Ovis aries: one gene and its partner. The protein of the gene in region 1 binds, or shares a complex with, the protein of each later gene. Links are inferred from orthologs where the notes say so. Each region holds a gene or a part of one and is shown on either strand. Other genes may lie near its edges. The genes, in order: ZDHHC9 and GOLGA7.

What was found.
Region 2: the proteins of ZDHHC9 (region 1) and GOLGA7 are in contact, whole or in part, in a cryo-EM structure (PDB 8HF3), measured with the Homo sapiens proteins. The link is inferred for Ovis aries from reciprocal best matches to the Homo sapiens genes ZDHHC9 and GOLGA7. Residues at the interface, in NP_001008223.1 of Homo sapiens: Phe78, Ala81, Arg85, Ile94, Pro95, Leu98, Asp100, Glu101, Phe104, Ile105, Phe129, Gln130, Ile131, Asn132, Ile146, Pro149, Pro150, Arg182, Tyr183, Leu186, Tyr274, Lys281, Cys284, Glu285, Leu287, Cys288, Gly289, Pro290, Leu291, Pro292; in NP_001002296.1 of Homo sapiens: Lys11, Phe13, Gln15, Tyr18, Ser19, Ser20, Gly21, Thr22, Ala57, Glu58, Leu60, Ser64, Tyr65, Gly68, Cys72, Ala75, Tyr76, Thr77, Phe79, Leu80, Tyr86, Glu87, Leu90, Ile116, Arg118, Gly119, Arg121, Val122.

What each region holds. Positions count from the first base shown.
Region 1 is NC_056080.1:113,759,659-113,769,997, reverse strand, and holds the start of ZDHHC9 (palmitoyltransferase ZDHHC9), read left to right. Parts: upstream 1-4,999; 5' UTR 5,000-5,184; intron 5,185-5,529; exon of another isoform or gene 5,530-5,595; intron 5,596-6,763; 5' UTR 6,764-6,897; coding exon 6,898-7,064; intron 7,065-10,339. UniProt on the Homo sapiens protein: Palmitoyltransferase that catalyzes the addition of palmitate onto various protein substrates, such as ADRB2, GSDMD, HRAS, NRAS and CGAS. The ZDHHC9-GOLGA7 complex is a palmitoyltransferase specific for HRAS and NRAS.
Region 2 is NC_056079.1:35,772,564-35,782,146, reverse strand, and holds part of GOLGA7 (golgin subfamily A member 7), read right to left. Parts: intron 4,883-9,583; coding exon 4,781-4,882; intron 3,595-4,780; coding exon 3,547-3,594; 3' UTR 3,532-3,546; intron 1,130-3,531; 3' UTR 1-1,129. UniProt on the Homo sapiens protein: May be involved in protein transport from Golgi to cell surface. The ZDHHC9-GOLGA7 complex is a palmitoyltransferase specific for HRAS and NRAS.

The DNA of each region.
Region 1 (10,339 bases):
TTCTGTCTTCTAAACATTTGTAAAATACAGTGTTATCTGAGTCCTTCTCTTTGTTATGAGCTTATGCCTTTTCAATCCCTTTATTATAATTCTAATAGTGTCTTAGGAGAGAGTGGATATAAATGCATGTGGTCTTTCTGCCATATTGAATGAGAGATATATAGCCTTGTAATATAAATCTTTCTTTTAAAGTTCTAAAATTAATAACACTTTTTGTAACTAATTCAGACATGAAAGACCTGTATAAAGTAAAACTTAAAAGTCTGTTCACCACTCTCACTTGCCAGAGATAACCACTGTTCAGTATATATCCTTCCAGACTTTAAAAACTATACATATGATATATAAAGTCATACACATACAAAATGAGTTTTTTATTTTACAAAGTTTGTATTTTAGAAAAGTTTAGATACTTGATTTTTAAACTTAGTACATATTGGGCACACTTGCTTGTCAGCTGATGCTTAATTTTTTAATGTAAAAATCTTTATTGAAATATATACACCTACAGAAAGGTGATAGTCTTCTCTTTCCTGTGTATACAGTTAATGAACTTTTGGCTGCTGCTAACTATTTCATTGACAAGCAGTGTTACAGTGAATGTCTTTGTACATTTATCTTTGAACACATGTGCTAGGATTTCTTAGTAGAAGTAGGATCATTGGGTCAATGGTTATACAATATGAAAATATTAAGAGATACTACCGAACAGCCCTACTGAAAGATTTTTCCAATTTACTCTTCTATCAACAGTATTTGAGAGGGTACACCCTTCTGAGGCAAGCTCTCCTTAAAAGGTTGGAAACTGTGGTGCATGCTTGAGAACTGGACTCTGCCCTGTTTCATGTTTATCTTTAATGACTTCACATGAGCTATTCTGTTCTCCCTTAGAATACTTGAAGTTCTTTAGAGCCTGGGATCATGTCGTTTAGTTCTTGGATATTTCTCACCATGCCTGGTATAGGCTGAGCAAACTGTGGGTGCTTGCCACAGTTTAATGATTGACCATAAACCAGTTTATAGTTTGGGGCTAACACAATCCCTTGAAGTCAGCTCGTGGAATGAGAGGGCTGGGCAGAGCGGGAGGCTAGGGCTGTGCTGGGTTTGTATCATATGCTCTCACTTAGACATCAAGTTTAGACCATAATCTAGGGACCTAAACTGTGAATACCTAGCACAATCCTTGGCTCAGAGGAGGTCCTTAATAAATGGTCTCCATTGATGTGATTATGATTCCTGTTTAGTGAAAGGGGGCTCAGCAGTAAAGAATCAGCCTGCCAATGCAGGAGAAGTGGATTTGATCCCTGGGTTGGGAAGATCCCCTAGAGAAGGGAATGGCTACCCACTCGAGTATTTTTGCCTGGGAAATCTGCCAGGCAGAGGAGCCTGGTGGGCTACAGTCCGCAGGGTCACAAAGAGTGGGACACGAGTGAGCAACTAAACAACAACAAGAAGTCTTAGGATTAGTGTTGAGGGCTCCGGCACAGCATCTAAAATCATTCTGGGTAGAGTCAAAGATCCACAGTCTAGAGATGAAATAAAATTTAAAACTGGCAAGAGCAGACTGGCATCAGAGGCAGGGGCAGAGACTGGGTTGGAGCACTTTAGTTGCACTGTCATAGGATCTTCTTGGCACCCAGGCAGTTTTCCCTGGACTTTTTGTATTGTATTTGTTATACAAATATTACTTATTTGTAAAATGTTTGGTTTTCACATGGTGGCATCCTAAAGGTGCTTCTCAGTCTCTGACAGGAGCCAACAGTCCCAACACAGTGATGTGAACACAGAAGGTGTACAATGACAGAGATGCCAGTGGTCTCTTACTTATTGAAACACATAATATTCAGGCAATATTGAGGATTCCCTGGAGATGATGGTGCTACAAAACAGCCACTCTACTAGACCACGATTATAGCCCAAGCTTTTCCCAAGCATAAGTAAGGTTCCCCGGGGACTGGGAAGCCAAGGGGCCAGTCAGATAAGGATTAATTCCAAGTGACAGATTTAGACGCTCTGTAAACACACAGCACACGGATGACCAGGGTTCGACAAAGTGAAGAATGGGTCTGTTTCTTCTTACAGTTCTACCCCCAGTCATCAGTGCAGATAAAGGAGGGAGGTGGGAAACGGCAGTTACCTACAGATATCATTAGAACATACATCATTGATTGTATTTCTCCTATATGCCAGACATTTAGCACACATCATCTCCCATTCCTTTTATAGCTCTATGAAGTAGGCATTAGCTCTGTTTTACAGCTGAGGAAATTGACTCAGAAATGAGAAATTACTTGACATAATTTACACGAGCTCCTGAGTAGCAGAGTCAGGATTTGAACCTAAGTCCATCTGGCTATAAAGCTTCGGTGCTTTCTGCTATGCATACCATCTTGCCTCTTCTGCATCAGGGAAAGCAGCCCAGCCCCCAGGGAAATAGCTATTGCTTAAGAACACTAAGTTGGTCCCTGTGGACAGGATGCCCGTGGTTCTTTCCTTTGTTCATCAGTTCATTCTACAAATATATGTTTATTTATAGCCAGAAAGTAAGAAGAGAGCAGGCCAGGTGGGTGAGCTAGAAAGGGACACTTGTGTGGGTAGGAGGACAAGGCGGCCTGAAAAGGTTGAGGCTAATGTAAACAGACAAAAAAAAAAAAAATGAGGCCAACAAGAGCTTAAATGCAGGATGGGGACTAAGTTTGGGGATCTGTTTTGGATACAGTACTGAAGGGGTCTCTGGGTGTTTACAGGAGAGATGTCTGGAGCAACACAAAGAGGCAAGTTGCAACTCCACAGCAGCACTCAGAATCTGAGGCCGTTGACACCTCCACACCACGAACACACGCAGGAACTGTCAATATGGAGACAAGTATTTTTAAAAAAGCACACCAGAATGTGTGTGACCACACAATGGAGGCCTACGCCTTTATTCCATGCCGTTTGGAGCACTCACCACGTGACTGCAACTCCCCTTCAAAGGAGCCAACACCCCTTTGGATGCATAAAGTCTAGAGGTTTGTGGAAAAGAGTAAAAGAGAAAACAATGTTCATTTATAGTCACAGTGTAGTTAGGGATGTGTATTAAGACCTTGGGGATAATATGAAACGATGCAATGGCATAGAAGGTATCGGTATGGAGGGTTTGTCCATATCCATTTTCCTTATTTTTCTTTCAGAGGTGAGCACAAATGATAACAGATTGTAGTAAAGCAAGCCTGACCTACACAGTCACTTAATAATCCCGGAGGGAATGTGACCCAGAGCAGGGAGGGGCAGAGCTCAGGAATGTGTTGCTGTGACTCATTCCAGGACTCCCAGGGCTTCACCTACACCTGAGACGTTTGGGTGCTGTGGAGGTTTATTTTTGTCCACTCCCCAATTGGGAGGATGACAGCCGGGGAGACTCCTAAGGGCCTCTGGTATACACAGGCTTGGGAACCCAGAGGCCTGCTGGGCTGTCCTTCTCCTTTCCATACCAAATGAATGCAATACCAGCAGCCTCGAGGATTTAAAGGGGAGAATGGAGGTGATGATACTGATCATACAGTTCATAAAAACTACACCGATGATTATAATCAGCATGAGTGCTGGGGAACAATAAAAGCTTTATAAAGATGTACTTTCTCCTACAAATGAATTATAACACATCTCTCATAAGAGAATTACCTAGTAATTTTTTTATCCTTTAAAATTTTTGATTGAAGGGTACCATGAATGTGTCAAATGTAACTATCATTAGATAGAATTTTGCTTCATATCTTGTGGGACCCAAATCCCATAAAAGGAGAAATAGTTCTTGACCAGGCAGTGGTCCTTCAACTAACACACACAAAAAAACTGCCTTGGGAAGAGCTTTGGCAGTCTCTTTTGTATTCATTGCAAATACCTTCACCCCAGAGAAACTTTGTTCAAGCTTAGGAAAATAGCTGACAATCTGGGCACTTTCCCTGATAGTGTGACAGGTAAGGAAAGACCACCTTACACCCTCTCTCATATTTCCCCTTATATTTGGAAGCCAAGAGCCACAGTAGCGGAAACAGACCCAGTATCTTTTAAAGTCTGTTGTAGAATATTGATTTCGCGGTTCTCAACTGTTTTCCCCACTCCAATCTTATGCTAAAGGATGAGACTCACTCAGATCAGTAGCAGTGGCTCATTGTGGTAATAACTGCCCTGTCAGAGAGGTGGCAGAAAGATAGAATCAATGTGGTTGGTGGGTAGAGTTTCTGCTGCTCCCCTCTGAGCCCCACTCAGCGCCTCATTATCACAAGCTCTTCAAATCTAATAGTCATTTATAAGCTTTTGAAGCAATCTTTACTTCATCACCTACCTGAAAGAATTTATGTCCTGTCAGTAGAGTTTCAGCGTCAATTTTTTGTTTACGATACCGCAAAGTGATTCTATCCTCTTGGGGACAGTTATCTCTTTCAAGTTCCTTTTTATATGTTTGTTTTGTCCCTAAAGCCACAGATGCAGGCCAGGGTGACTGGGACAAAGGTGGGATCCCTACCTCGTGAATATGACTTGGGAGGCAGAACTTATTTTTACGCGGGTACAGAGTAAAATCCCAAGTCGCGATTGATTTCATGTAAGTACGGCTGGAGAGGCCCAAGGAGGATCCAGTTTGGGGTGAGCACCGGGATCTGTGAGCCAGGGTTCCTTCAGCGTCTCATGGTACGTGTGTGCGGGGGGAGGCAGGTCCCCCGTTCCTCCTAGTCCCATTGACACTACGCTTCATCCCGGTCCCTGCGGAACTATATTAATAGAAAGCGACACTTCACACATCGGTGCTCAGACCCCAAAGGGAGGCTGGCAAAGGCTTGGCAGGTGGGCACGAAGTCGGGAGATGGGTGGGGGAATGGGGCGGAGGCGTCGTCGAGTGGCGTTCTGCGCAGCCAATGGTAGTTCGGGGCAGGGGTGGCAGGGGCGGAGGCGCCGAGGCGGATCAGCCAATAGAGGGCTAGCAACTACTGGAACGACCTGGTGACGTGAGGAGCGTTCCATTTGGCCAGCGGTGGGCGGTTGCCACAGCTGGTTTAGGGCCCCGACGACTGGGGCCCCTTGTCAGGAGGAGGCAGCCTCCGGGCTGGGGAGAAGCCGCTGCCATCTCTGGCGGCCAACGCGGTCCCCTGGGACAGTGTACTTCCTGGCTTCGGTTCCCGGCCGAGTTCGGTCTCCGGGGTTCAGGTAACAAGGGGGTGGGTGGGGGTGGGGGTCTCCGGGGCTCGGCCGCGTGGTGGGTTGCAGCCCCCTCGGCTGCCCTGGGATGCGCGGAGCCTGCTCTGCCCTTCTCGGCTCGGCGATTGCCGAGCCCCTGGCCGGGGGTGACTACACGTGGCGGGGCGTGTGTGTGTACGAGCGTGCGGAGGTGGCGCGCGTCCCATCCTGCCCGGGGCGGTGGTCGGCGGCGTGGCTGAGGTTGGGCGGGCCTCTCGAGGCCGCGCCCGCCGCCCGTCCGGGACTCGGGCCTCGGGCCCCGAACCGCTGGGCTGGTCGCTGGTTCTCGACGGATTTTGATCTTTGTTCTCCCAGGCCCGGCTCCCCTTCCTGGTCTCTCCTCCCGCTGGGGCGGTTTATCAGGAGAAGATTGTTATCCAGGTTAGTTTTACACAAAGGAAGTGTTCTCTACACCTCCGATGCCCCCTCCCCTTTCCCAAGCCTTCCAGCTTCTCCTTTCCCTGCTCAGCTCCTAGTCTCTCTTTGGACCGTTGCCCTCTTCAGCCCAGTTGGTTATTTCTCATCAGTCAGTCGAGCTGCAGGTTTCCGCCTCCTTCTTGCCAGCGTGAGGCATGTGGTATCGGTAAATAGAGGCCACAGCACCACACCTGAAAGGAGAAGGGTGACAGCGGTGAGAAAGGCTGGGCCTGGGGATTCAGGATGCTAAGTGGAGATGGTACTTCTGAAATGTCCCAGAAAGCACCTTTGTGACTTTTCTTAACTGCTGCCACCCCTCCCCCTCCGTTGGGCCCCTCCTCCTCCCAGCCATATAAGAATCTCTCTGGCTTAAGTCAGCCCTTCACCTACAGGTCTGTGATGTGGTTTCATTAAGATTCCCACAAATGTTAGGCTAGACCGGCAAAGTTGGTTCATTTCCCAGACTCAGGAAGTTAGGAGGGTTTGATTAGGGGAAATCTGTTTGGAGTAAATACAACCTGGGTTTGTGTACAGTGTCCAAAACCTCCTAGCTCTCCCAAAGGATGACTTGTTCCCTGGTGTGATTCAGATTCCAGTGGCTAATTGAAGAAAGAAGGTGAAGAAATGGAGGAGGGAAGGGAATGGCCCTTAAGGATAGAAATTCCATCATTTGTAGAGTCTTTTTCATGATAATTATACAATAATATGGTATAGTGGAGAGCACCCTGGACTGAAAGTCAACAGACCTGTTTTCTTGGCTTAGCTTCGTGGCCTTGTGACCCAGAGAAGTGATTTCCCCACTTCAGTCTTCAGTTTACTTATTTCCAAAACAAAGTAATTGGGGCTGTCACCTATAAAACCTCTTCTAGTTCCTAGTTCTGTGATAGTCAAATCATCAGTATTATACTGAAAGTAAAGGGATGTATGTAAGATATACTAGCCTCTTTCTCTTTTTGAGAACCTTTAACCTTTTCTTCTTTTAGGGGACAAAAACAGATTGGAAATAAACTCTTCCATTTCTTCACTCTCAACCCTTGAGGCAGTACTCATCTTTCTGCCTCTGGGAAAGGAAGATTGAACTGCATTTTCTTGTTCTTGCCTCATTTTTTTTTCTTTTTGTGTTTTTCCTTAGGGCTAGAAATTGGACTTCTGATGATGTTTGACCCAGTGGCAGCAATAGCACACATCGTGATTTCAAAGCTGGGCTCAGCTTCTGTATCTTCCCTCTTATAATCACAAACCCATTTTGGACCAGGAATTCCAATCATGTCTGTGATGGTGGTGAGAAAGAAGGTGACACGGAAATGGGAGAAACTCCCAGGCAGGAACACCTTCTGCTGTGATGGCCGCGTCATGATGGCCCGGCAAAAGGGCATCTTCTATTTGACCCTCTTCCTCATCCTGGGGACATGTACGCTCTTCTTCGCCTTCGAGTGAGTTTCCATTGAGTACTGTTGCCTGATTATGGTTACTTTGGGTCCAGGGAAAGAACCTTCTTTCTGGGGAGTTTATGGCTAGTCCTTGGAAGGTTGTCACTGTCCTCTTGAGCAGTGTCTGTAGATCATGTCAACTGAATTCATTGCTTTGTATGTGCCTCCTTAAAAGACCAAGACGTTTGATAACCAATTTTATAGCACTGATTTGGGGCCGCCCCTGGAACACTTAGGAAATAAAAGAATTCATCTTCATTACTCACCTCCCCTTTACAGTGGTCTCCTTAGGTGGTTAGTGACAGATTGCCTCTTCTCCACCCCTCCTGAGCCTAGGAGCACTCCCTGTGGTCATAACTCCACCCCATGATACTCACCTATTCTGTTATTCTGGGTCCTATTTTCTTAGGGCTCAGCTCTCAGCTAGCTCTTAAATTGAAAAGCCAACTGAATTGGGAACCTGCCGATTGATTCCAGCCTCAGCTGTGCCACAGTCTAGCTGCCTGTGTGGCACATATGTGCTTATTAAATGTGAGTTGCTCTTTCTCTCAGTCAAAATCACTCAACATAAACAACTCTCTATTCTGTGTGTGCCTGATACCAGCCTTGGAGTTATTTTTCCTGTGATGTAACAGCTAGTTTTAGAGGCAGTTTGAAATCTGTGTTGGTCACTACTCTAGGGAGTTGACCAGTTGACTACTGTGGCATGACTCCTGGGTATGCTGAGAATGTACATTCCAGGGATGAGAGCAATGCTAATTGGTTTAGGATTATTATGAGGAAGGCCTTGAAGGAGCCAAGAGATGTGTTTGTAGACCATGAGCTACACCTAATATGAACTGCTACAGTTCATGCCCTCCAGTGACCTGGAAATGGAACTCCCCTCAGGGGGTGTGGCCATGGGATGGAGGAGGGGGCTTCTTGGCTTGCCTTGGTGGATAATTAAAATGAACTCTGATCTTTGGGGGCTCATTTTTGTCTTTCTTCTGTAAGGGCTTCAGGCTTTCCCAGTGCATCAAGAGTGATTTTTTGGGGGCTGGTTTGCCAGACTTTGGGATAAGTGCAAATGGCGTGAATAACAGCAGGGGAAGGAGAGGGATGTAGTTTATAACAAGGCCAGGAAAGTAAGGTCAGAGGACCTTTTTGTCAAAGGCACGTTTTTTGCTGCTGTTGCTACCAAGTTGTAAAATATTTGGCAAAATCAGACAGGTTGATCATGGCTTCTTAGCTGCTTTCCAGTCAGAGTTTCATGGCTGAATGTGTGTGTGTATACTTTGTGTGGTACAAGTGAGCGTGTGCAGGCGGGCAGGCATAAGCATAACATTTAAAAAAATATTTCCCCACTTCTCAGTCTTGTCTCCAAGTTAGCTTTGTTTCTTCCTTGCTTGTTTATGGAAGTGCAGAGCTGAACTCTGCTTTCTGTCATTCTCACTCCTTCCTCTGCTAAATCACTAGCTCTTTTTGCCTCTCTCCCCTCCCCAACTCAGGGTTAAATTTTTGTGGTTGAAACCATTCAAAACAGAGATGAGATTTGTTTCCAGGCCCTGAGCGAGCTGGTAATTCTGGGCCCAGGAACCCTCTGGTTTGACTGGCCAAGGGAACTTGAAATTTGGAGCTACTGGCGTTTGGCCCTTTTTGTATCTGGAAGCCAGACAGAGTATGATTTGGATGTGTTCTGTTCGGCCCTGAAGGCCTCTGAAGAAAACTGCCTGTGAGATGAAGCTTATAACCAACCAAGTTACTGTTTGACAGAGGCAGGTTGGGTTTTCTGGTGAGATGACTTTTTTCCCCCCAAGTTATTTCTTGCGCTTTGCCCTCAGATGTGAAGGGTGAGGTTGTTTGTAAACTGCCCTGGGTTCCAGCTGTGTGTGTGGTAGAGTAAATAGTTTCGAAGGTGGGGCTGGGCGAGGGAGTAGAAAAGGGGAAGGGAGAAGGAAGTAAAAGTGTTAGCTGAGAAGTGGAATGGGGAAGTTTACATCTGACCAAAGGGGAGAGGGCCCCGTCAATGAATCCTTCTTACTGAGAATGGTGGGATCTGTGTTTGTGAGCACGTATGTGTATGCGTATATGTGTGCACATGCACGCATCTGTCTGTCACATGCAGACACGTGGGCACTCTAGGTGGCGGCTGCCTTGAGCCTAGCCACTGACAGGCTGTACAGAGGACACCAGCCTGCCTCTGAGGAATGAAGTCTCTTTCTAGTCAACCTTTTTCTTTGGGGGTCTATAACTCACTATCCACCACATGGTGGAGGATAGGGTTTGGGGGCAGAATATGGGCTCCTTTGCTAGTATGAGAACTTACAGAGACCTCAGGAAATCACCTGGTTTAGTCCCCTGCCTTCAGGCAGTTGAGGGTGTCTGAACCGACCGTCTCTTTTCATGTTTAAATTGTATAGGAGCATAGACTGTACATTCTCTGGCTGCTGCATTTTGGCCTTGAGGAAAAAAGTTCAGATCTTGAGGCACATCTGGACCTGCATTTTCGTAACAGGGTCCTGCTTGCAGCAGGTGTGCAGGAATGAGTGAGAGGTGATTTATAACCCCCTGTGGCACAGCCCTGGGTCGGCCAGATGGCTTGAGAAATCTGGTCAGGCGTGTGGGCGCCCCTTGATGAAAAACATGCAGTGTTAGTAGTGTCAGTGGACATCTTTTTTATTTTTGGATTTCGCTTTTACATGTTTAGATTTCTCAAAGGAGGGTCCTGTGATTTTTCAGTGAACAGACAGTAGGTTAACTACATAAAATGAGAAAAAGTGGTCCATACAGGTGCTCATCATTAGCTTTGTGTTGTTAGAAGCGTTTCCAAAGAAGCTGGGTAGCCATCTCTCAGAGCTGCTGTCACAGAGTGAATTCCTGCCCAGGATGGGAAATAGGGCTAGATTATCACTAAGCCTCTTGCAGCTCTGAGATTCTGAAATTCTATAACTCTTGTGTCTGTCTGGAAGATTCTAATACACACATAGAAAAGGAGAGGATAGAAGATTACCAGTAGATAGCTGTATTTTAAATGTAATTGTATCTATTGTTTCTATAGTAAATGTATTTGAATTTAGAAGCAGAGTGTACAGTGCTTGTACAGTGCTTAAAAAAAAGAATTTCTTTGCAAGTAGAGATTATCATACTAAGCGAAGTAAGTTAGAAAGAGAAAGACAAATACCATATGATATCACTTATGTATGTGGACTCTAAAATGTGACACAAACGAACCTATCCACAAAACAGAAACAGACTCAGAGACACAGAGAAAAGACTGCGGTCGCCATGGGGGATGGGTT
Region 2 (9,583 bases), on another chromosome or scaffold:
CTAATACATGTCTTATCCTTCTCCCAAAAACAGTGCTCTCAAACCCCAAAGGTGAAGGGTATGGGAAGTCCCAATGCTAAGAACATACAGCCAAAAAAAGAACTCCAAACAGTGACTCAGGACTTGACAGTTTTAGCTGGAAATCACTTATCTTACTGAACTTGAACCAATCATACATGTTTCTGTGCGTGGAATACTGTATATGATAAAGTCTATGAACCATAAGGACTGCCAGCAGGGAGAGTTAAAAATTAGCAATATACAGTATTATTCCTATCAAATTTTTCCTCTTAAGTTACATTTATAACAAAACTATAATTAAAATATTTATTACACTTGCTCGTTACACATTCAGGGACACAGCAGGGACATCTGAGTTTGATGGTTTAGCATCCACTTTATTGTGCTTACTCATTCTTATAAGAACAAGCGACACAGACCACGTCTTCCCAATGCTCGAGGTGATGCGGTACCAACAGAATTCTGAAAAAACCCAAACCTGGAAAATGCATTAAACACTGCTTTAATTAGGAAACTGATATAATAAAACAAGAAAAATAATACATTATTTTTCCAATGAGCTTCGGTTTGGGGAATTAAACAGCAGAACTAGACCTTTAAGCTCTGAGTCACAGCAAAACTGGTAGTTTTCTGAAATCTGGGAGATGCGTTAGCAAAACCAGACACAGCCCACCCTTCACCAAAATCCTGGAGAAAAGCATTTCATGAATTTGGGGGGAGTAAGACTGAACACTGGCTAGGATACAACATGCTGAAGCCCAAGGAATGATGAGAACCACTGGTACTGGCAGCAGGTGAGAAATAAACTGCTGGGCTGACCAACTGCATATTTGTTTAATGGCTTTGAATGAACAAAGTGAAACGCTTCATGGCATTTTCTCTGAAACTGATCAAAATATTGCAGAGTCCTACACGATTTGGAGACACAAAGTGGATGCTGAGCGACTAGAGGTCACTCCAGGTGCGGAATTTTAGAAAGTCAGTCCTTGGAGTGAATGGCACCGTGGCTCTGGCAGCAGATACGAAGGAATGATGCTCTGGAGAGGAGGTAGGGGGACGCTCTGCGGTCGGCCGGTGGACAGGTGAGGGTCCCAGCTGGACGTGGGATCTGTAGTTAGAGGGAGAAGCAAAGGCTTAGAAAGCGACACTGACTGACCTCCCAAGAGCAGCTGCTGTGACCTCCCCACGTGTGGGCTACACTCCATTAACCCAGGCTCCGGCTACTGAGATGCCCAGATCTGTCTCATCTGCCGAAGGGGGTCCATGGTTTGAGGGTCCAGAGATCCAAGCCTGTATGTTTGCATCTCTGACCAACCATGTCTCGAGAGGCAGCACAGAACAGGAGTGCGCGGCCAATCCAGGCCTGGCTGCCTCCTGCCGACCTGCCGGTTTGGGGCCCTGGACAAATAACTGAAATTCTCCGGGCCTCGGTCCCCTCTTCTGAAAAACAGGGACACTGCCACAGACCCCAGAGGGTGCTATGAATGATGCGGGCACGCAGGAGGTGCCCACAAGCGCTGGGTGTTTTTATTATCACTTATTTATCGTGATAGGTTAGTGCTACATTCTGTTTTTTAAGTAAAGAAGACGATCTTAATCTTAAGAGAGAAAACAACCATCAGTTTGTTGAATAATAAAGGTATCAAAAAAATTATAACTTTTTAAAAAGGAGTAAAATATAACACTCTTTTAAAAAAATAAAGGCCATCTCCATGATTTGTGTGCTCTTAAGTCATTAATTTTAATTCCCATATAATGCGTCAAGCTGCAGACACCATGTATGCTTAAGAAAAATGACAGAACTGAATTCATTATTCTTCAAGAGTTTTCCCCTTTCCTCTAAGACCTCAGCCCACACAGGATCCCAGGTCTGAGGAACACACAGCTCTGAAAACTAAATTACACTGAACGAAAATATTTGCATTCATGAAATTACCACAAGTTCCTAACGTAAATCTCATTTCAAAACTTCGCTGTTGTTGAATATTGATAGATTCCTCTCTGGTGTGCGATTGCTCCAAGTCCCGCGCCACCTCAGGAAAACAGTGTGTTAGAGCAACAGGAGCTGCAAAGTGCGTCATGACAAACGGCTTGTGCCAAGGCAGCGCAGCTGCAACTGATCAAACCAACGCGTCCCAGCGGCCCGCCACCAAAACCACACTTAGGGCTCCTGGCTGCTCCTCTGAGAAGTACCAGTTTGCAAAGCGCACGTGAGAAAGCGTGTGAACAGGTAACACTATGTGCTCCAAAACAAAGTCTCAGTAAAGAATAAAACACACGGCAGAGGGTGTCATTATTTAGGTCTGTCTTGTAAGAACTCAGGGGACACATTCCCTAGCGCTCAGAGAAGACAGCTATGTATTAATAGCATTCAACAAATGGAACAGACAAGATGTTATTTTTAAAAGGTACTGGAAAAGAAATGAAGGGGAAAAGCATTTAGAATAATGCGATGGACTCTTTTTTCTCCACATCTCTGCTGCTGCATGTACTTATAGGAAGTACGGTGAAAAGACAAGGCTTTATGGTCAACCAGACTCGGGTTCGTAACCCTGGACTATTAGCTGTGTGACCTGGAGATCATCACTTAATCTCTTCCTATCTTGGTTTGCTTATCTGTAATGTGGGGGGAATACTGGGCAGGATTCTTGTGAGAACTGGAAACAGTCTGTGTAACACCTAGCACACAGCCATGCCCTCAGAACAGCAGCGAATATCATTGCTGTTGCCCTGGGGAGGAGGCTGTCTGCTCTGGCTGAATCTGTTTCTGAGCAGCCTCCTGCGAGTCAGGGACAGCTGCCTGCGGACGTGGTCAGGAAAGCTCAGCGGCAGAATTACTACTGGGAGGTGGAGCGCAGGACGGAAACGGGCAGAAATTGGCCCTTTTTTCTGGTCACTTAGAAGGTGCGCTGGCTTCCAGGTGATTCTTCCTCCACATTCCCACCAGCATTCAGCAATTTGCTGCTCAGTTGTTCAGCGTCATTATGTGGATACGTGAGAACATGAACATTCTAAAGCGCGTGAACATTTATGTATGGTTCTACCCACTAGAGGTAAGGTTTCTTTTAAAGGGCTATGAAGCCACTTAAATACATCAAATATTTAGACTCTCCCTATTCTGAAACGTTTCTTTGGTTATTACAGCCATCTGTCATGGCTTTAATGACAGGGAAATCTGTCAGGGGAAAAAATGTCAGGGAAATCTTCTGACCTGATTTTTATGTGTAAGACCCATCTATTAAAATGTCCAGGATAGTTTTGAAATATTAAAATAAGACCCCCCAACCCCCCAAAACAAAGTAATAACAAAATGAGGCTGAAAACAACAAAGGGGGAAGAAAAAATATCAGGGTTAAACTATCACTTGGGTTAACAGAATTTGGGTTAATGACACATTTTAAATATCAAGTCAGTACAGACAGTATGCCAGTATTTATGATGCAGACGAGAAAATTCATGCACCCTACAAAATTACAAAAATGGCACATAATCATACAATTTCATATTTACCTTTAATTCTATGGTTTATCTTCCACTGCTCATACCTCTGTCTTCATAAATGGTAATTTCAATCTAAACAGCATGACTGTTAAGAAAACACACTGGAAAACACAACACAGGAAAAGGGACTACGGAGAGAAGATGGGTATGATCTGTGCGGACTTCTCTTTACTTACTTTAAAAAAAAATTCTTTTGGCTGCACCTTGTGGGATAGCTCAGTTCCCTACACAAGATTGAACCTGGACCCACCAGCTGGAAGCTCGGAGTCTTAACTGTCGGACCGCTAGCAAAGTCCCCCTTGCCTTTACTTATCTTAAATTATTATTTAAGCAATTAAAATTATTATTATTTGCTTTACTTATTTCAAAACATTAAAAATTTCTCCTGCTTAAGTTAAACAGTGTTTGCCACACCCTGCTGAAAAATTCAAGAAATGTCATTGCTTGTGGTATACCACAGAGTTCCTCTCCAAATATTATTTATTTTTTAAAAGAAGAAAAGAATGTGAAAAAGGATACTTTATTGCAGAACTAACGGGGGCTCTTCACTGAGCATCCATAGTGAGGTAATGACGTCAGGGGTGCAAAACACCCTGAAATTGTATGCAAACTTTTTCTTGTGAGAGAGCTCACGACTTCTAAAAGTTTAAGAAACACTGATACGAGTATAATAAAGCCGTTGAAATTATTATCAGCCGGAAGGCCTGGGATTATCTGACCTAGGTTTTAAAAAAAATTTATTTTATCCAGTTATTTATTTTACTTGTTATCAAGCTAAATTATTTTTTTGTAATTTTATTTACCAAATTACCAAAATAAACTTCGTGATGTTGTCAACTGCCTCTAAAATATACAGTTATGTCAAAGGTAATGAAATGATACATCTGGCAGCTGTAACTGATTTCAACGAGTCAGATGAACCCACGGAGCTGCGATTTATTTGGACGACGAGCTCTCCGCGCACTGAGTTCATGCATTTCAAAGGGGCCTTTGGTGTAGCCTCCGCAGCTGAGATGCATGACTCACCCCACTCCATTATTACTACAAGATGCTGCACAGCCACCAAGACAGCGGCAGCCCCAACACTACACGCTCCAGAGACCAGCACGCCACCCGGGAAGGAGTTGTGCTGGAAGGAGGGAGTGCCTTCCAGCAGCAGAGCCCAGGGCAGGTTCGGGAACGGAGGGAAATCCTCTCTGGCCAGGGCTGACGGCCATAATCAAATATTTAGACCTCATGATCTGGACTGAAAAGATACAACTCGCAGTCCTCTCTCGATGGGATCTGTCAGGAGGAGGCCTTGTGGGGCGTAGATCTTCTCATTCTGCTCTTGAATGTATTTGGAGACTTTCTTCAGGACCTGACCAAAGAGAAACAACACAGCTCTCTTACCAACTTCATCAGATTCTCTTTTTGAGTATTCAGCTGAACTTCAAAATATTCAGGCAGTGGAATTAGTTTTCAAAGCAAGAAATAGGTGTTCACGTGGAGGGACAGCTCTGACTCTGTGGCTCATGCCCTGGGTCCCCAACACCCGCCCCCTAGCCCCAGTTCTGAGCACATCCATACAGCCTAAGTCCAAACAGAGATGCAGCCAGGTGGCGGCACGAGAGCCACGCCCCTTCCCTCCATCCTGGATACGGAGAAATTTGGAGGTGACCATATACACGTTACGTGCCTTCCCCTTCCCTACTCAGGAAATGTGCAACATGTGACCTCCTCTGATATCAGGAACAGCTTCTGGCTTTCCCCTGGACACTCAGGAGATGGTTCTCAGGACTTCTCTGCAATCCAGTGGCCAGGACCTCAGGTCACTGCTGAGGGCCCATTTGCATGCCTGATAGGGAAACTAAGATCCTACAAACTGTGAGGCATGCCCCCCACCCTCCACCCCAATAAAGAAAGAACGAACTGCTTTCTCCACTGTACATTTTCATCAATTTAAAGTCATAATACAAAGCGGGCCTATAACGAAGGGAGTCCAGTACATTTAAAACTGAGAAATCTGTTTCCTTCACCAGGCACGTTTGTGCTGGCTGCCATGGAGGTCTGGTGACCAGTGTTCTCCATCATCTCCTGCCTGCATGGGAGGCTGCTCTGCAGCCTGCTCCTGAGTCCTAGATGGGAACCTCGATTTATAAGTTTAGTATTAAGGTTGTAAAAGTCAAAGCAAACATAGACAAAAACCAGATAGGATAAAAAGGAACTTCTGGAAATTGCCAAATCTTAAGCTTTAATAAGGGCAATTCTGAGACAGATAACCTAGAAGAAAATAAATCTTAATAGTGATACACAAAATCAAAGAGTCACATGTTTTCTTTCAGATTCAAGGTCATTATAATCCTTTGCTGGCTCTAATCTTCAAAGACGCTTTGATCCAATTCTTTAATTACTGTATGTTTCCTTAAATTCACACTAGCAGAATATGATAAAGTCACAGATAAATGTGATCACAACATAAAGGGAAAAAAAGAACTGTATGAAAATAAAGCTGGAAAGGAAGAAATCTGATTTAAGTATGGGTCTATAATGTACCAGAACAAACCAACATATTAGAATGATAAAACGTAGCTGCTTTGGCATAAACTGATTTAGAATTTAAAACTCTATGCTGCTTGTATAATGGATTTTCTCACTGAAGGACAATAAACAGTCTATTCAGGTTACATCTCTGGGGAATAATAAAATCTCATGTTTTACGTTTTTTAAAAAAGAGCATGATATTATTAAAAGAGTCATCTGCAGGGTTATGAAGTAATGTAAGAATACTATTTCTAAAGAAAAGACTTTTTCACCTTATTACCTAAAGTACATATGTCATTCTCCTATTTTCAACTCTCAAAGAATTTGAGCAGTGCCTGGTCTTTATGAGCAAAAAAAAAAATCTCAGTCACTCTCTTTCCACCAGCATTTGTCAATCATGCTGCTGCTGCTGCTAAGTCACTGTGCGACCCCACAGACAGCAGCCCACCAGGCTCCCCATCCCTGGATTCTCCAGGCAAGAACACTGTCAATCATGCTAAAAAGAAGGGAAGCAAGTCACTCATGATGGTGCCCAATTCAGGATTCTCCCTCTTCGCTCCAATTTCCTTCTGTGCTCACCTGCCAGAGCTCGAAACCGGACAGCCAGGCTCCCCTCACCCCGTCCATTTACACTGGGCAGACATTGAGAAACCAGCCTGCATGGCTGGTTTCAAAGAAAGGATTCCTTCACATAGCTCTCCTCCCCTCCTCGAGTGCAGGTTATTAGCAAAGACACAGCCATGCTTTATTTGATTCAAGCAGAACTCTGTCGTGCAAGGCTTTTGTTTAAACTTTGGTAACACTCATGGACACTTGGGTTTCAGTTCAGAAAGAAGACAGTTTTCCTTGGGCGCCAGCTGCAAATCCTCCCACAGCACTGCAGTGAAGGCGGCACCATGCTAACCCAGATGTGTTGTTAGCAACAGACAGCTCACGGACGTGAGTCAACTCGTACCTCACTCCTGCCAGGACAGAGCACCGTTCTCACCCTCAAGGAACTTTGTGTTGACATTTTATTCATACTTCACTATTTTTAGTGAATCGTTGTTAAAACAAACTATAATACCAACAAAATTATCTGTTATCCTCAAACCCGCAATAAAAACCTCAGTTTGTATAGTATTTACAAAGTTAAACACTCAGACCTCAGGAAAGGCTATTGTCCTCTTTGAGAATAAGCCTCTCAAAGCCCTTGAGGAAAGATAACCGAAGTGGGGTTGAGTGAGAGGCCCAGGGGCTTAGTGTTTCCAGAAAGATCTGAGTTCTCTGACTGCGCTCTTTTCACATCACAGCCCATGGGCAGCAGGGACGTCTCTGGTGGACGAACACAGCAACTGCTCCTGAAAGAAGAACGTTCCACAGGCCCATTTGTTCCCTGATTATAATGGGCAGCAATGGAGGGGAATAACACTGAAGCCTTTATCTTCATTGTAAATCAATAAATAGCACATTATAGAAAAAAAAAAAAAAGCACGATTGTTCTAGTGGGTTTTAAAAGGCCTATTTACAATCTCAAAAAATTTAACCCACAGGACAAAGTGTAAGTGTCACTATGCGTGGCTTACTGTTTGTAGACTGGAAGTTTTAGTGTTTAACACAATAAAGACTAAATGACTCAATTTTGTCCCTTCATAAAGGAGAAAATAATAGCACAGGAATTCCTAAGGGGCAAACTGGAGAGAGGGAGTGGCTGAGCACTCTAACATTTTTATCATCTTATCAAAAATACAAATACACATTTACAATGTTTCCTTTTAAAAGTACATGGAGATTATATCTTTATTATGACCATTCCAGTTATGTACTTTGCATGATCTAGTTAATTCATGTCCAAATTTCTTATATAAAATCACATTTATAAAATGTGCCATAAATTTGGGTTTCTTGACTAATTTTATTGGGTCTTTATTTGCTTTATAATACTTACTCTGTAAAAGAGACTTTAATTAGACTTGTAAAGTAATACCTTATATGTTATTTATGAACTCAAGTCCATTATTTTCTGATATAATTTGAGACGTGCCTTCTGAAATTGATCATCAAAATAATCAAATACTAATCAAAAAAGACTTTAATTAAGAGTTGCTAAATGTTTTAGTAGGTAAAGAAACCAGCAGCTGCTAAAAAAAGATGACTTATACACTTATACACTCAAGGTAAAAAAAAACCTGTACATGTAAGTGCACACATATCTGATTAAAACATATATATACACACACACACTAACTCGATTTTTAAGTCTATCTTAAGAAAACTTTATTTAGCACCTGCCATATGTAAGGCAATTTATTAATTCAAAGATCCATTATATTTCTTTTTTGGATTTACCTTTTTTGTTTTTTTAAACAAACGTGTCCTAATCACTGATATACAGCCAAGTGACTCAGTTGCACATGTACCTACGTTCTCTTTCATATTCTGTTCCAGGATGGTTTCTTTCCTATGTCTCCTCATCTGCATCTGCTAACACCCATCCCCACTCCTTGGTAACTACCAATCTAAGACCCGCTTACAACTGAGAACTCAGATTTGGAGAGATGAACTTGTCCATGACTCATAACTAGGAAATGACCTGGCTGGCACCCAGTGATCAGTCTCTCTATAACTGATGCCAGAGGCAGGTATCTGTATCTATTTTAGCAAAGACACATGAAAAAATAAGTTGATTAAAATTTCATCAACAAATTTAAAAACTACAGTGAAATAACAATTCAAGCATGCAATATTCCATGAGGCGTGAATAAAACACTCTGGAGGACATATTTCTGCCTTAAATTGGCTATATTACACGTCTTCTACGGCCACGTGGCATGAGTATCTTACCTGCACAGGCCCAGCCCTCCCCACCCACCCCCTCCTGTGGTCAGTGGCTCCCTAGCGTGCCTCCTCCTCCACCACCTCGCCCCTTGAATCCGCTCACCTCCTGCCGTCCCTGCCGCTCCCTCCCCGCCCAGGCTCTCCTTGTCTCCTGCCCGGACTTCTACGAAGCGTCTTACTTGCACTTTTATACCTTTCTTCCTCAGAGCCAAGAAATCTGTTTAAAATGAAAATCGGATCCTGCCACTCTCCTGCTTGAAAAGCTTCAGTGATCCTACCCTGCATGGAAATAAAATCTAAGCCTCTCTCCACGGAGCACACACTCCATGGGGCAGAACGCAGGTCCCCTCACCTCTCCTGTCACCTCTGCCCTCTCCTCCTCTGCACAGGGGGCCCACGCTCTGCACATCCTCCTCCAGCCTTCTGAAAGGCCCCAGGCTCCCCATCTTTCACGTGGCAGCTGAACGCTAGCACCCCAGAGACCCTTTCTGACCACCCCATCTAAATTAGTCTCTCTGGTTCTGGTCTATCCTCGGGAAGTTTGGTTTTTTCTAAGGCATTTATCACAACTTACAATTCTGTGGGTTTTGTTCCTTAGTATCAGTTTTTACCAGACTTATAAACTCCACAACGTCAGTAACCACGTCTGCCCATTCAGTTATATCCTCTGCACAGTGCTTAGCACATAGTAGGTGTTCAATAAAATTAATCGAATGGATCC